Oryctolagus cuniculus: one gene and its partner. The protein of the gene in region 1 interacts with the protein of each later gene in a biochemical or structural test. Links are inferred from orthologs where the notes say so. Each region holds a gene or a part of one and is shown on either strand. Other genes may lie near its edges.

Region 1 (7,691 bases):
GTGCTCCGTGGTCGAGCGGCTCGCGATAGTGGAGCAGGCCCGGGCGCCCGGCGACGGCTGGACGCCGCCCGTGCGCGCCGCGGCCCCCAGCACGGTCGCCCAGGTGGCCTGCGACCACTGCCTGAAGGAGCCCGCCGTGAAGACGTGCTTCGTGTGCACGGCCTCCTTCTGCCAGGAGCACCTGCGGCCGCACCTCGACAGCCCCGCCTTCCGGGACCACCCGCTGCAGCCGCCCGTGCGCGATCTGCAGCGCCGCAAGTGTCCCCAGCACAACCGCCTGCGGGACTTTTTCTGCCCGGAGCACGGCGAGTGCATCTGTCACGTCTGCGTGATAGAACACAAGACCTGCTCGCCCATGTCCCTGAGTCAGGCCAGCGCTGACCTGGAGGTAGGCTGTGGGGGGGCTGGGCGTGGGTAGCGTGGGCCCGCTGGGCGCTGCAGAGAGGCCGCCCTGCCCCAGATCCCCTGGGGAGGGAGGCCTCGCTGGGCCTGAGTTGGAGTAGGGGCATCCCCAGCGACAGAGCAGGAAAGAGCTGCGAGGTTGTGCAGCCCTCCCCGCTCATGGCCCATGCCCCAGCCATAAACCCATTTAACAGAGGGAGTACTTGGGGGGAGAGCTGGCTTGCTTGAAACCTGCTTAGGTCTTTGGGAGAGGGTTTTGAGCTGTCATATAGGAACCCTGGAGCTCACCTCTCTGCCCTCATGGATTTCTGGCGGCACCTGGGAGGTGATTATTCTCAGTTCCGTTTCCTAGTTGAGTGAACCGAGGTCCGTGGATGTTAATTTAGCTGGGGCGTAGGCATTGTGGCCCAGCAGGTGTAGGTCTGACACAGTTTGCAGTTTCTCCCCATGGACCAGTTTCCTATCCAAGTCTGTGGAGTCCAGAGCGGGGGACATCCTCAAGTAGCCCAAGCCTCCATCTAGTGACCTGGGAGGGTGGGCAGAGTCCCTGGAGATGACCCACGCTGTGCTGGTGTGACTGAGGCGGGCTTTGGCCCTGCTCCTGGGTCCCCCTGGGTGGTAGGAGGAGGGACTAGGTGAGTCACTCAGGGCCTCCTAGACCTGTGCTGGTTTTGGTTTCGGTAGTTTGGGGAAACCATACCTGCCCCCTGTGGACTCACAGCAGAGCGGGGGGGGGGGGGGGGGGGGGGAGGGTAAGGTATCACCCGCCCACTTTGCTTATGCAGTCCCAGCTCCCCGGCGGGGTCTGACTGCATTTTGTATCCAGGAGGACAAAGAACAAGGCCTGGCCTCACACTGCCAAAGGAGACCTGAGCCTGGAGGGTGGGATGGCAAGGCTGCCGGGCCCAGGGTAAAGGCCTGGCTCCCATCTGGCCACAGCCCTTCTTTGCTTCCCTGGGTCTGAGCTGGGCTCCTCTGGTCTTTTCCCCTGAGTTTAGAAGCTGGCTTTGAGGCATGTGATCTGGCTGGGTGTGGCCTGTGGCCCTCACGTTATCTCAGCCTCTGTTCCGAGCCAGGAGGAGGGCCGGTGTCACAGAGGTTGAGTCTGACACGTCATCGGTCCTAGATTTAAGATGAGGGTGGGTCCCAAATATCTCAGGTAGAGTGGGAGAGGGAGGCAGCAAGGAGGGAGGGAGGGCCAGGGAATGTTGATACAGCTTGCGAAGGGAAGGAAATGTGTTTTTCCTAGAAATTTCTGGCATGCTCAGATTGGGTTGTGTGTGTTCATTTTAATCCCAGGGTTTGAGCTGTGCCAGTTAATAGCAGTGTGGCCTCTGGCAAGTCGCTTAATTGCCCCGTGGCTCAGTGCCTGCCTCTGTGGAGGCTGGGTTGTTCCAACCGCATGGCGTTGTTCTGAGCTGTAAATACATGAACGTGTGGAAAGCGGTGCGGAAGTCGCAGCAGGTGGGAAACGCCGTGACTTCCCTCCCCACGTCTGTGCCGCAGACGTCTGAGCAGAGGTGTGACAGTCTGGGAGACTGGTGATGCATAACGTGCCTTTGTTTCCGGAGGCAGCTGGGGCCAGGCAGTTCTGAATGAGCTTAACTGAGTTTCGGGGGCTGCACTGTTGACGCCTGGACTTCAGCCTCTGTGGGCTGTGTCGGCCTTATTCCTAACATTGGTGGTCCCAGCCCGCAGGGGGGCCAGGTGAGCCTTGGAATGTTGTCCTCTGTCGCCCTGAAGCTGACAAAGGCTCGCCCAGCTCTGCTCCAGGATTGTGGTTCCACAATCTCTTCTCCTTTAGCAGTGCCCCCCCCCCCCCCACCTCCCTCTTCGGTTTTCTGTCTGCTTTTCTGGTTGTTGGCTGTGGGAGGATTGAGCTAAACTACCTCTGCCATCACCCTGACAGCAGCTGGTCCCGGGTGGCTCTGTCTCCATGCCGGCGTGGCCACCTTTTTATTCTCCTCTCCTTGATGTTGTCAGCTGTAAAATGGGTAGGCCTGAAGATGCTAGCAGTAATGAGTGGAATAAAAGTTTGTACAAGAAAGAGTTTAGACGTGAGACAGAGTAGTGGTGAGTAAGGTAGTAGCAAGGTAGGGCATTTGTCAGAGCGGATGGGCCCCTCTCCAGATGGAATCCGAGAATGTCCAGTTTACATGAAGACTGGGGTTTGTAAGGGAGTGGGGTCCAGTTCTTCCCATCTGTCTCCTTCCGCTCGTCCATCTTCTCCTGGAAAGAGTTTTCTGGGTGAAATAGGTACAGTTCCTCCCAGGGTTTTATTCCCCAGTGTCATCAGGCAGGGCGGCCCACTTGGCGCTGGCAGGAGGGCAGGCGGGGATCACGTGCAGAGTTCTCAGGGCTATGGACAGGACTTTGCAGTGTGGAGACCCACGCTGCTGGAGGCTGCCCCCTTCCCTCCTCTGGTGCTTTGTTGACTTTAGGCTCCACACACACACACACACACACACACACACGGGCTGATCTCTAACTTCCTACCTGGCGAAGTCCCAGGTATGGGCAGGTGTGTTGTTCCAGGTAATCCTCCTTGATAGCCCTATGGGGTGGGAGCAGTTGTTTCTCTTTTATGGCCAATGAAACTGAGGTGGTGGGAGCTGTACAGCTGCAAACTGGGACTTGAGCTGGGTCCGTCTGACCCCACATCTGGTTCTCTGAACTTCCTTACTGTGCAGCCCCCCTAAAGGATGATGGACTGCTTCAGAAAGCTCTACACAGGCGAGACACGGGGTGGCCGAGCCCCTGTGGGATGGACTCAGGGGATGGCCCCTGGTGTTGGGGGTGAGGCTGACGAGGAGCTGTCTCACCCTTGTTTGTTTTCTCTGCAGAACAAGCTGAGGTACAAACTCACCATCATGTACAGTCAGATCAATGGGGCGTCGAAAGCGCTAGAGGATGTGCAAGCCAGGCAGCAGGGTGTGCAGGTGAGTGGCCAGGCCCTTGTCCACCACCAGGCGGGATGGGGGCAGCCCTGACCTTGACAAGGCTGGTGTTGGGTGCACTCACAAGCATCAGAATTCAGCACCAGCCTTGCAGAGCAAGCAAAAGCACTGTGTGCTCAGGAGAGACCCTTTGCAAACCCAAGTTGAAAACCACCCACAGGCCCAACCGTGGGGGAACCTTCAGAACTTGAGCTGGGGGTGGCTGCTGTGGTACAGTGGTTAAACCACTGCTTGGGATACCCGCGTCCCATGTCAGAGTGCTGGTTCGAGTCCCGGCTCCCCTGCTTCTGATCCAGTTTCTGCTAGTGTGCACCCTGGGAGGCAGCAGGTATTGGCTGAAGTGCTTGGGTCCCTGCTGTCCTCATGGAAGACCCAGAGTTCTGGGCTCCTGGTGTCAGCCTGGCCCAGCCTTGGCTGTTGCAGGCACTTGGGGAGTAAACCAGTGGATGGAAGCTTGCTTGCTCTCTTTCTCTTTCCCTCTCTGTGTGTTATTATGCCTTTCAAATAAATAAGCATAAAAAAAAAGAACTAAAATGTAGGAATATAAAGAAATGATTATGATCTGAAATGGGAGAAAAACAGGAAGCCAATATCCACTAGAGTTGCATCTTCCCTAAAAAGAGTGTTGTTTCCTGGGGCGCTGTAACAAATTGCCACAACCTTGGCGACTGAAACAAATGAAACTCATTCTTTCCCGGTTTTGGAGGCTGGAAGTCCAAAATCACAACGTGGGCGGGATCAGTTGCAGCATGGGTGGGGTCACACTGCTCTGACAGCTGTGACCGAGAGGCCATTTTTGCCTCTCCCAGCTCCAGCCCCTCAGGCTGATGGCTTTGTGGCTGTGTGGCTCCAGTCTCCCCCTCCTTCCCCTCTGTGTTTCCAAACACCTGTCAAATAAAAACAAAACACCTGTCTTTAGATTTAGGGCCCACCAGCATAATACAGGGTGATCTCATGTTGAGATCCTCAATTTAATTACATCTGCAAATACCCTTTACTGGGAGGCAGGTGTCGGGGGATAGGGAGGGAAGGCAGCATTGGATCCATTGCAGGGAGTATAGGAGAAAAGATAGGAAGGGAGAATTTTTTTAAAAAAGATTTTTTATTTATTTGAGAGGTAGAGTTACAGACAGAGAGAGGGAGAGACAGAGAGGTCTGTCATCTGCTGGTTCACTCCCCAAATAGCTACAGTGGCCAGGGCTGGGCCAGGCTGGAGCCAGGAGCTGAGAAATTCATCACAGTCTCCCACAGGCCCAGGTGCCTAAGCACTCAGGCCATCTTCCGCTGCCTTCCCAGGTGCATTAGCAGGGAGCTGGGACTCGAACCGGCGCCCACATGGATGTCTGTGTCTCAGGCTGCAGGTTGACCTGCTGCACCACAACGCTGGCCTCTGCTAACACATCTTGATTTGGACTAGCCACGTCTCAAGGGCTGGGAATGGAGCACAGGCACTCTGGTGTGGGATGCGGGCATCTTGACTGGCACTTCAGCTGCGAGGCTCAGTACTCAGCCGCTCCATGCATTTCTTTACGTGCTATCTCATACACGTATGCATTCTGTAGCAATCGATTCTGCCCTTCTGTTTGTTTCTCAGCTTTACATAAACAGCTGCTTCTCCAAGTCTGTGTCTTCTTCAAGTTGTTTTTCTCTCTTGGAGCTTTATCCCTGCATGGCTCCAGTTTATTAATCCTCATAACCATTTGGCTTTCCGTCCTGTGAACAGCTCTGTCTCAAGTCTTCTGCTGACAGATTTCCGGGTTGTTCCCAGGTTCTCGCTGTTTCAAAGCGTGTCACTTATGAACATTCTTGTGTGTGTCGCTGAGGCAGGTGTCAGGGCATTTTCCCAGAGTGCTTTCCTAGGATCGCAGCCACCGAGTCATTGGGCACAAATGCCTCCGAATTTCCTAGACTGCCTGGTTGCTGCCCAGGGTGGCTGTGCTGGCTCCTACTGCTACAGGGCACAAGTCAGAGTTTCTGGTGCTCTGCCTCTCACCCACCTTGGGATGGCAGCTGTAGCAATTTTTTTTTTTTTTTTTTTGCCCATCTCACGGTTCTTCTCTTGCCTCGGCCCTCTTAGGAGGCTACAAACAGGAAGATAGAGCAGCTGCGACAAGAATACCTGGAAATCAAGGCTCTCATCGATGCCTCGGAGGCCAGCTCGACTCGAAAGATAAAGGAAGAGGAGAAGAGAGTGCACAGCAAGTTGGACACCATTCACCAGGTGCTCCTCAAGAAGAAGAGCGAGATCCAGGCCCTGAAGGAGAAGATCGAGGACGGCCTCAAGGAGGGGGACGAGTTTGAGTTTCTGGAGGTGGGTGGCAGGGCCCGGGACTGCCGGGTCTCTTAGCGATACGGTGGGGCCTGGTGCCGTCGGGCTGCAAGAGGTCAACAGAAGTATCTCTGAGTTTGCTGGGTTGCGACAGGACTTCAAGAACGTACCGCAGCCCCAGGGCTTAGAGCTGCTCAGCGGCTCCCTGGCCCTGGAGTATGGGCATGGCTCCGTCTGCGCAGGAGCTCACGACGCCAGCATCTGGGGGCTGGCTGGGCTGCGTTCCTTTTGGAGCGCACATGGCGTGGCCGTTGTTGGTAGAATTCATTTCCTTAGGGTTGAAGGAATGAGGTCGCCCCCTCCTTGCTGGCTGTCAGCCAAGGCCTCTCCCAGCTTGGTAGCTTCCTTCCTCAAAGCTAGCAGGAGAGCTGCTCCCTCGAGGAAGGCCTGGTCCTCCTTTTACCTGATTGTCTGGCTCACCCGAAAAAATCCCCCTCTGGATGAACTCCAGGTCAACTGATTCGGGGTCTTCTTGTTGTTTGTTTCTTTTTTTTTTTTTACTTTTTAATTTTTATTTTATTTATTTATTTTTACTTTTTTTATTTTTTTGACAGGCAGAGTGGACAGTGAGAGAGAGAGACAGAGAGAAAGGTCTTCTTTTTGCCGTTGGTTCACCCTCCAATGGCCACCGCGGCTGGCGCACTGCGGCCGGCGCACCGTGCTGATCTGATGGCAGGAGCCAGGAGCCAGGTACTTATCCTGGTCTCCCATGGGGTGCAGGGCCCAAGCACCTGGGCCATCCTCCACTGCACTCCCTGGCCACAGCAGAGAGCTGGCCTGGAAGAAGGGCAACTGGGACAGAATCCGGTGCCCCGACCGGGACTAGAACCCGGTGTGCCAGCGCCACAAGGTGGAGGATTAGCCTATTGAGCCACAGCGCCAGCCCTGTTTGTTTCTTTTTAAAGATTTATTTATTTGAAAGGCAGAGTGATAGAGAGAGAAGAAGACACACATACACACACACATACACAGAGAAAGAGAGAGAGAGAGAGAACTTCCATCTGTTGTTTCTCTCCCCAAATGGCCACAACAGCCAGGTGTAGGCCGGGTCAAAGGCAGGAGCCAGGAACTCCCTCCAGGCCTCCCGCATGGGTAGCAGGGGCGCACACACTCGGGCCAGCCTCTGTTGCCCAGGTAACCCCTCTGAAAGCTGGATGGAAGCAGAAGACCCAGGACTTGAACCAGCACTCCATTATGGGAGGCTGGCCTCACAATCAGTGATTAACCCACTTTGCCACAATGCTGGCCCCTGAGTGGGGGTCTCAATTACACCTGTAACATTCCTGCCTCTGCTTGTAACCCAATCATGGGAGTGATATCCTGCCGCATCCCCCACGCCTCCCCCTCAAAGACCAAGGATTATATGGGGTGTGCTCCCCAGAGGGAATGGGGATCTTGGGGGCTGTCTCAGAATCCTGCCTTCTTCACACCCCATCCTCTTCCTCTTTCCTGCCTTTCTTTTCACTGCCCCCAGACCCCTGCCCTTCATGGCTCCATCCCTCTTCATGTGGCCCACAAGGTTCTTGGCGACCAGATCTTGCCTCGTGTCTTGCCACCTGCTCTCCCAGCCCATGTCCTGTGCCATGACCATGGTGGGGAATCACCATTCCCAGATGGAGTGGGCACTGGGCGAAAGGCCACACTTGACCTCCTCGTCCCTGGACGCCGCGCCCTCCTTCCAAGGCCAGCTCCGGTTTCCCCGTCTTCTTGGGATCCGTTTTTCTTACCTTGATGGATATTGCGGAGCACGTCCCCCTGCCTCTCCTGGAGCACTGGTGGCATTGTAGCATGTCTGTTGCCATGGTAACCCATCCTGTTCCCTCGCTCCTTGCGTCTCTAATGTCCAGCACAGTGGGCCTGGTGGGGCATCTGGGTTCCCTGCCACCGCCCTTGAAAGGCGTAGGTCCTGGGAGAGTACAGGAGCGGTGGGAGCTTCTCCCTGTGCATGAAGCCCAGGCTGGCGGGCGTTCGATTTCATCCCAAGTGCTCACACCTGTAGTCGA
Region 2 (8,452 bases), on another chromosome or scaffold:
AGGGTGAACCAACGGCAAAGGAAGACCTTTCTCTCTGTCTCTCTCTCTCACTGTCCACTCTGCCTGTCAAAAAAAAAAAAAAAAAATGTCTGGGGCCCATTATGATTGTTTATGTTATTTCAAAAGATGAGCAAAGGGGCCAGCACTGTGGCACAGCAGGTTAATCCTCTGCCTGCACCGCTGGCATCCCATTTGGGTGCCGGTTCGAGTCCCAGCCGCTCCTCTTCCACTCCAGCTCTCTGCTATGGTCTGGGAAAGCAGCAGAAGATGGCCCAAGTCCTTGGGCCCCTGCACCGGCATGGGAGACCCAGAAGAAGCTCCTGGCTCCTGACTTCAGATCAGCTCAGCCCCAGCCACTGTGGCCATGTGGGGAGTGAACCAGCAAATGGAAGACCTCTCTCTGAATCTCCCTCTCTGTATCTGTAACTACCTCTCAAAGAAATAAAATCTTAAAATAAGATAAGCAAAAATGAAAACTATAAACCTTTATTCATTCTATGTGGTGAGTTATAAACTCACCGAATGTCCTTTTATTTGATACTGCTTGTTTATTGATAATATATACATTCTGAGGCTTATTCTATCATTCATGCTTCTGAGGGCTTTTTTTCATGCTTCTGAGGGCTTTTTTTTTTCAATTAATGAAATAATCAACTGGCTTCCTTCCCATGCACCCACCCCTCCCAAAGTTGCATCCAAACAGCAGGGAAGGGCAGAAGAATGGGAGAGCCCAGAGGAGACACCCACGGTGGCAGAGACCGCAGAGCAAGGCGAAGGCCCTCGGAAGGCCTGCTTTAACAGTTCGACAGAGGCCGGCGCCGCGGCTCACTAGGCTAATCCTCCGCCTAGCGGCGCCGGCACACCAGGTTCTAGCCCCGGTCAGGGCGCCGGATTCTGTCCCGGTTGCCCCTCTTCCAGGCCAGCCCTCTGCTGTGGCCAGGGAGTGCAGTGGAGGATGGCCCAGGTGCTTGGGCCCTGCACCCCATGGGAGACCAGGAAAAGCACCTGGCTCCTGGCTCCTGGCTCCTGGCTCCTGCCATCGGATCAGCGCGCTGCGCCGGCCGCAGCGCGCCGGCCACGGCGGCCATTGGAGGGTGAACCAACGGCAAAGGAAGACCTTTCTCTCTGTCTCTCTCTCTCACTGTCCACTCTGCCTGTCAAAAAAAAAAAAAAAAAAAACAGTTCGACAGAAATCACGCGTGCAAAAAGAACCACTTGCATGGCTGCCAGATCTCACTCCACAGAGCTGCCGTCAAGGAAGCCGCCTGGCGCTGGTCCCTGCTCGCCACGGTGCTTGCTTCGCGGTCGTTTGTTCAACAGAGGGCAGCTATTGTTTGTGTCAGAACGGGGATTTGCGCTCCATGTGTGGGCACGCGCTCAGCAAAGCAAACAGAAACATACAAACCAATGCACCGAAACGAATAATTTTCCAACACCAAAGCAACTCCTTTTGTTGAGCAAACTATATCACAAGAAGCATTGCAAAAGAGAGGAACTACAAGATAGAAATTCATTCCATAAATAATAACTTTAATCCGCTGTATATAACGTTAAGTGAAAACAGATCTTAGTGAAAAACAGGACAGGTAATAGGAGAGGGAAGAAGGATGGGAAGGTGGGTACGGGGGAAGAATTACTGTGTTCCTAATGTGGTTATGAAATGCATGCAACTAAATACATTTTAAAATAAACACAATAATAATAACTCTACAAGGAAAATTTTTATTTTAAGCTTAGCAAAAAAATGCAACTCAACCGCATATAACAAAGGAGAGTTCACTGGTCCGAATAAAGCCTTGTTATGGGAGTCGATCGGCTAAGAGACCCCAACAACACACGATACACACAAAAGGACCTTCACTTCTCGAGTGTCACAGGTGGGAAGATAAAGGTTTGTAAAGCTGCTAAGGAAGAGTATTTTTAAAAACATATTTGGGGAGAAAAAAACACATGATAGCCTCCGAGGCAAAAAAAAAAAATTCCTGGAGGTCCTTATTAGAATACTCTATACGTTAAAGCATGAAAATTGGTAATTTTGGGGAAGACACTCAGCCGAGGGGACACCGGCAGGATGTCTTCATCCCTTATTGGGTTCCCGGTTCCGTGTCTCCCGCCAGCTCCTGATTCCAGCTGCCTGGAACCAGCGGATGACACGTCTCTCAAATAAATAAATAAGAATGCTTTAAACTTTGTGACTCCAAAATTAAAAAGTGACATAAAAATAAACTTAAAATGTGTATAGACCAGTACGTGTAAGAAATCAGACTTGAGTAAGCCCTCTGGAGGGCCCATCCAAACTTGCATAGATCAAACAATTCCTGCATTACATTCACTCTTTTAAAATACAGAAAAGCTCCAGGTAAACATCCCAATAGATGAGTTTAATGTAGTTTTGGGGCCGGCACTGTGGTATACTGGGTTAACCCGCCACCTGCAGGGCTGGCATTCCGTATGGGCACCGGTTCAAGTCCCAGCAGCTACACTTCCAATCCAGCTCCCTGCTAATGCACCTGGGAAAGCAGTGGAAGATGGCCCAAGTGTTTGGACCCTGCACCCACGTGGCACCTGGAAGAAGCTCCTGGCTCCTGGCTCTAGCCTGGCCGAGCTCTGGCCATTTTGACCATTCAGGGAGCAAACGAGAAGATGGAAGATCTCTCTGTGTCTCTCACTCTCTCTGTAAATCTGCCTTTCAAATAAATAAAATAAATCTTAAAAAAAATAAAATAAAATAGTTTTGATGTTTCAAACCAGGACAAAAAATTAAAGCTACCATAATAAAAATCATAAAACGAAAATTTCCAAACATAGTGCATATAGCTAATTGAAACAATTATAGGTTTTGTAGCATAGGTTTTTCCTGAAAATGCAAGTTGTATTTATAACACAGTCACGAATATTAAAATTGTAATCTATTTTAAAAATGCAATCATTCTGTGGTTGTATAAACGAAGTAAAGACCTTATCTTCTGGAGATAATGAGATGCTTATAAACGATAGCTGGAATTTGCCTTAGAACAGCACCCGGAGTTACATGTAGGCGCTGGGAAAGACAGAACACAGGACACAAGACTGTCACACTTTGAGAACTACTGAATCCAAACAGTGGGTACGCCGAGGTTCACTATTCTCTTGCCTCTGCTTTTGACTGCACTGGAAACACTGAGTAAAAATCTTTAAAAATAAGAAGATAGTGCTTAGGGGCCAGTGCTGTGGCTCAGAGTTAGGCCGCACCTGAAGGCGCCATCAAATGTGAGCACTGGTTTGAGTCCCGTCTGCTCCACTTCTGATCTAGCTTCCAGCTTATGTGCCTGGGAAAGCCCCAAGGGGCGGCCCGGGCACTTGGGCCCCTGCTGCTCACGTGGGAGACCCAGAGTACAGGCTCCTGGATTCCGCCTGGCTCAGCCTCAGCTGTTGAGGCCATCAGAGTGAATCCGTGGATGAAGATCTCTGTGTCTGCCTCTCTCTCCAACTCTGCCTTTCAAATAATAAAATTATCTCTTTTTTAAGGTTTATTTTATTTAGTTGAGAGGCAGAGTTACAGAGAGGGGAGAGAGACACAGAGAGAGAGATCTACTATCCGCTGGCCCACTCCCCAAGAGGGTACAATGGCCAGGACCGGGGCCAGGCTGGGGCCAAGAGCCAGGAGCTTCTTCCGGGAATCCCACGCAGGTGCAGGGGCCCAAGCAGTTGGGCCATGTCCCCATTGCTTGCCCAGGCATATTTGCCAAGGTCGAAGGCAGCAGCTTTACTCACTCCCAATAAATAAATCTTTTAAAAAGAGATAGTTTAAAATTAAGTCAACCCCAGTTAACTAAGAATTTTTCATAACAGAACAGAGAACAGAAAATTAAAAAGAACGCCTTCCAACCTCGTTGTTCTTCAATATGGTGCTAGAATGTACTAGAATGTTGTTCCCTGTTATCCCGCTCTCCGACCTCTACCCTCCTTAGCCGTGTCTTCAGTTGAGCGATTTAGATGACTCCGTCTAGACACACAACTTTCTGACCTCAGACTCCCAAAGTGTTGAAACAATAAGCATTTATGTAAGGGAACACATTCAAGCGCTTTTCGTTGAAGTTACGGGGCGATGGGGAAGCAGCGGAGGATGGCCCAAGTCCTTGGGGCCCTGCACCCGCGTGGGAGACCCGGGGGAAGCTCCTGGCTCCGGCTTTGCGGCCATCTGGGGAGTGAACCAGTGAACGGAAGACCTCTCTCTCTGCAACCCTACCTCTCTAATAAGTAAAAGTAAATAAAGTTGCAGGGCGAACCGAAACAGCTTTTGCTCTAAACACATCATTTTCACAAACATGATCTACCTCATCCAGTAAAAACCTCCTCCTCCGTAACACGCACGGGAGGCGAGGGGCCCGGGCTGCACCATGTTGGCGACAAGTCCTCCAACAGGAAAAACCAGCAGTCCGGCGGGAGGGACCCGTTCCGAACTCCGCAGGTGCGCGCCGGGGCAGGGAGGCAGGCGGGAGGCCGCAGAGGGCCGGAGGGACGCCGGACGCAGCCGGGGCTGGGGCCGTGCAGCGCGCCGACCGCCGCTCCGAGCGCCCCGCCGGCGACCCCGCGCACCTTCGCTGACCCTGGAGGACCCCACTCCGGCCGCGGGGAGCCGAGTGGGGACGGCCGGGGCGCAGGTCGCGCAGCCTGAGGCGCGCGGGGCCGGGTGCCGGCCGCACGTCTGGGGCGAAGGCGGCGGAGGAAGACCCGCGACGGCAGAGCCCAGGCCCGCGCCCGCGGCCGGCTTCCCCGAAGGGCGCAGCGCGCGGGGGCACGGACGGGGAGCCTGGCCTCGGCCGCGGGGGAAGGGGCCTGGGGACGCCGGAGGCACTCACCGCTCCGCCTGCGAGTAGTGGCAGCGGCCCAACACGTTGAGCTTGCACAGGTGCAGCTTCCCGCAGGGCCTCTCGCAGTGCTTGCGACGGCAGATTCGGACGGGAGTGGTGGCCACCACGGAGCAGGACACCCCGTCCTTGCCGCCCGTCTCCAGCACCACGAAGCGCTCGAGGCCGGCCGCCTCCAGCTCGTGGCACAGCTGCGCCTTGGGGAGCCCGATCTCCTGGAGCAGCGCGTCCAGCGCCAGGCGGCCGCCGTGGGCGCACAGGATTTTGGTGATGAAGCAGCACACCCCGGGGTCCGCCATGGCGCGCGCTCGCCGGCTCGCAGGCTGCGCCGAGAATCGAAACTGACCAGGGTCCTGAGGGCGGGCGGGGCCGCTAGGCGAGCCGGCGGTTTCGGTTTCCGTCTCGGCTGGAGGCGGGATCTCCCCGACGCGGGTCCCTCCAGGGGCCGCCGGGCGGGCGGAGGGTCCGCGCGCGCCCCGGGCGGGCGGCCGCCGGCGCTGCGTGCCGCGGCTCCGGGCTCGGCGGGGCCAGAGTCCCCCAGCCCCGCGCGAAGAGGAAGTGAAACCGACGTCGGGGCTCCGGCGCGCGTGACGCGCGTGTGGGCCGGGGGGAGCCGACCCCGGCCAGCGCCTCCGCCCCAGCAGGGCGCGCGGCCCCGGGGCGAGGGAGCCGCCTTCCGCGGAGCCCCGACGGCCGCCGCGCCCCTCCGAGCCCCCCAGGGAGCGGCCTTCCCACGCCCCCGCTTCGTTTCTCTGTTGTTTATTATTATTATTATCTCTATTATGTTCTTTTGCCACCTCACGGTGTTTTTGGACAGCCACTTCTTGACCGGTTCCTGCGCACAGCGTGACAGCGAGAAGTCGCCGAGGGGCCTGCCGGACGCGGCCCGGGCTGGACGGGTTCTGCTCGGCCCCCGGCGCGGCACACACATGATTTTTAGGAGAAGCGCAGCGCCCTGAGCCCGCCGCCTACTCCCGCCCCTCCACGCGGCCGACGGTTCCCCGCGTATTCCCCGGCCCCGGGACCTGGGCGACCCCGCCTTCGCATCACAGCGCCAGGAGGAAGCTCCCGCACTGCCCTGCTGAGACCGCAGAAACCCGCCCGCAGGTGCAGTCTACGGAATACTACACAGCGGCAAAAGAAAAATTAAAAAAACCCAATCCCGCGTTTGCAACGAAATGCATGAATCTGGAAAACATCGTGCTTAAATAAGCCAGTCCCAAAGGGACAAATCGTGAGGCCGCCACAGACACACCGGCCACCGGAAAGGTTTATAGTCGGGTGGGGGAGAGGGCGCGAGGGTGAGAGCTGAGAGAGAGAGGAGAGAGAGAGAGAGAGAGAGAGAGAGAGAGAGAGAGGGAGAGGGAGAGAGAGAGAGAGAGAAGCTCAAGACCCCAGGGGGCGGGCAGGGAAGTAGGAGCAGCGAATCCCCTAGGGTCGGGGTGGAGCTGACCCCGGTGGTAGGGACTTGTGGTCACCTGACTTCCAGCAGCTGTGGTGGGGGCCATAGCTTTGGATGGTGTCCGGCATAGATCGCGCCACAGATAAGAGAGCGCCATTTTACTAACAGATACCACAGGTTCTCCCTGATCTGTGATAACCAATGGAGCGCCTAAAAGGATACCTGTAGGACTGAAATAGACACTTGGAGAAGCAATGACTTGAACAGCCCTTGTCTTGACGGTCCAGGAATAGGTTTTTTGTTGTTTTTTTACTTAATGGAGAATGGGCCTGGGAATGGGAGAGGGAGGAGGTGGGTGGGAGGGCAAGTATAGTGGGAGGATCGACTATATTCCTAAAGTTGCCCTTACAAAATTTGTAATCCTTAGATAAACAGTTCCTTTAGGAAACACACACACACACACACACACACACAAACACGTTGGTGATGTGGGTGGTGTTGGCTAGTATGCAGGCCCCGGCACAGGGCTGGACCCACGTTGGAAGAGGGAAGTTTTTTCTTCCCAACACGCCCAAGTAAAAGAAGTGGCCGCTGACCAGATGCGGAAAAGCGTAGAACTCGGTTACCAGATTAGAATTCTGCAACATGGTCCGGGGATTCTCTTCAGTGTGGTAATTCAGGTAGGTGAACAGGTCACCCCTCTTCCCCGATGCCTGCAACAGGACCCCCAGAAGCCGCGAAGCCTGACAGACCCACAACCTTAGGCAGGGCCTAGATAAAGGCCTCTGTCCAGGGTGAAGCCCAAATGCCAGAGATTCGTGGTTGTCCGTGGAGGTGGGGGGGGGCATGGGGGAGGCCCAGAGCTGAGGGCCGCAGAGGGGCCAGGGCTCTGCCCAGCGATGCAAACCCCCTGTCAGGGGAAGCTGGTCCCGGAAGGCACTGCCCTTGCCAGTGCGCTGCTCTGGGCTCAGGCCGGCCCCTCCCACGGCCTGCAGCTCTCTGACAGCTCTGGGGACAGAGGGCGTGGTGTGCAGATCAGCCAGACGGGCCCACGTGGAACGGTCCGGCTCTTGTTCCGCGCAGTGGCCGCTGCTTTGGTTGACTTTCACCTCCTTGGCCTTGGCTGTGGCCTGACAGGACCCCAGGCACTCTCTCCTCTCAGGTCAGTTCAGTTCAGAGTGCTCACCGACTGCCTTCCGTGGGGCCCTTACTCTCGAACACACGAAGCTTGAGACCAGGCTTGTGTCCAGGCAGGATGTGCTTGGAAGAAATGAGGAATGTCAAAGTGTGGGGAGACAGACGGTAAAGGGGCCAGCCTGGCGGGGTGGCTGGGAATGAGGACAGAATTCCCCTCCGCCCGCAGCCCCGAGGACTGATGTGAGGGACAGGGGGCTTGGGGGGAATTTCTGAACCTGCCACAGGACTCTCCAGGAAGGGAATGCTGACCTGCAATGAGACGTGCAGAGGAGTTCCCGGGTGTGTGTTAGGAAAAGGCAGTTTTATCTATGGCGCGATCTACACCCTGATTTACATCCTAAGCTCTAGCCCCCAGAGAATGGCAGCGCTCTTGTCTTCCTGCAAGAATTCAGGCGTGAGAGAGAGAGTGAAAAGCAAATAGCAAGGTTTATTAGGGAAGGGACATCTGCAAGAACGGATGGGCACCTCTCCAGACAGGACCTGAGAGTGCCCAGTCGCTCGGACTGGGCAAGAGTGGGGTTACATGGTTGAGTGGAGAGTACACCTGGCCAGGCCAGGGGCAGCTCAGCAGAGAGGCAGAGGGCTGAGCGCGCAGTCCGGTTGAGGCTGGGGGTTTTAAGGAGATGGGTCTCGCTTCTCCACCTCTGCTCCTCTTGGAACAAAGGGCTTTTTGGATGTAAATAGAAAAACTTCTATCTGAGTTATCAGAGGGGGGGGGGGTCTGGCTGCCCCAGAGGAAGGGCAGGGAGGGCGTTTGAAGTGCAGATACTGGGCTGCACCTGGAAGGTTATCAGGCAGAACAAAGACATCTTCTCTTCAGGCCTTTGTCACACACACACACACACACACACACACACACACACACATGCAAGCTCGTATCTGACTTCCTAGCCGCCATTGCTGGAAGCTAGGTGTCCACAGGGCCCAACCACTGTTTTCAAGCTCCACCCCCATCCTAATGGGATTTGCTGCTCCTGCTTCCCTGCCCGCCCTCCGGCAAAGA

What was found.
Region 2: of the proteins of TRIM25 (region 1) and ZC3HAV1, one has a biochemical effect on the other in vitro, tested with the Homo sapiens proteins (2 studies listed by BioGRID). The link is inferred for Oryctolagus cuniculus from reciprocal best matches to the Homo sapiens genes TRIM25 and ZC3HAV1.

The regions. Positions count from the first base shown.
Region 1 is NC_091448.1:32,514,961-32,522,651, reverse strand, and holds part of TRIM25 (E3 ubiquitin/ISG15 ligase TRIM25), read left to right. Parts: coding exon 1-388; intron 389-3,245; coding exon 3,246-3,341; intron 3,342-5,436; coding exon 5,437-5,670; intron 5,671-7,691.
Region 2 is NC_091434.1:184,860,515-184,868,966, reverse strand, and holds the start of ZC3HAV1 (zinc finger CCCH-type antiviral protein 1), read right to left. Parts: upstream 5,499-8,452; 5' UTR 5,150-5,498; coding exon 4,842-5,149; intron 4,451-4,841; exon of another isoform or gene 4,261-4,450; intron 1-4,260.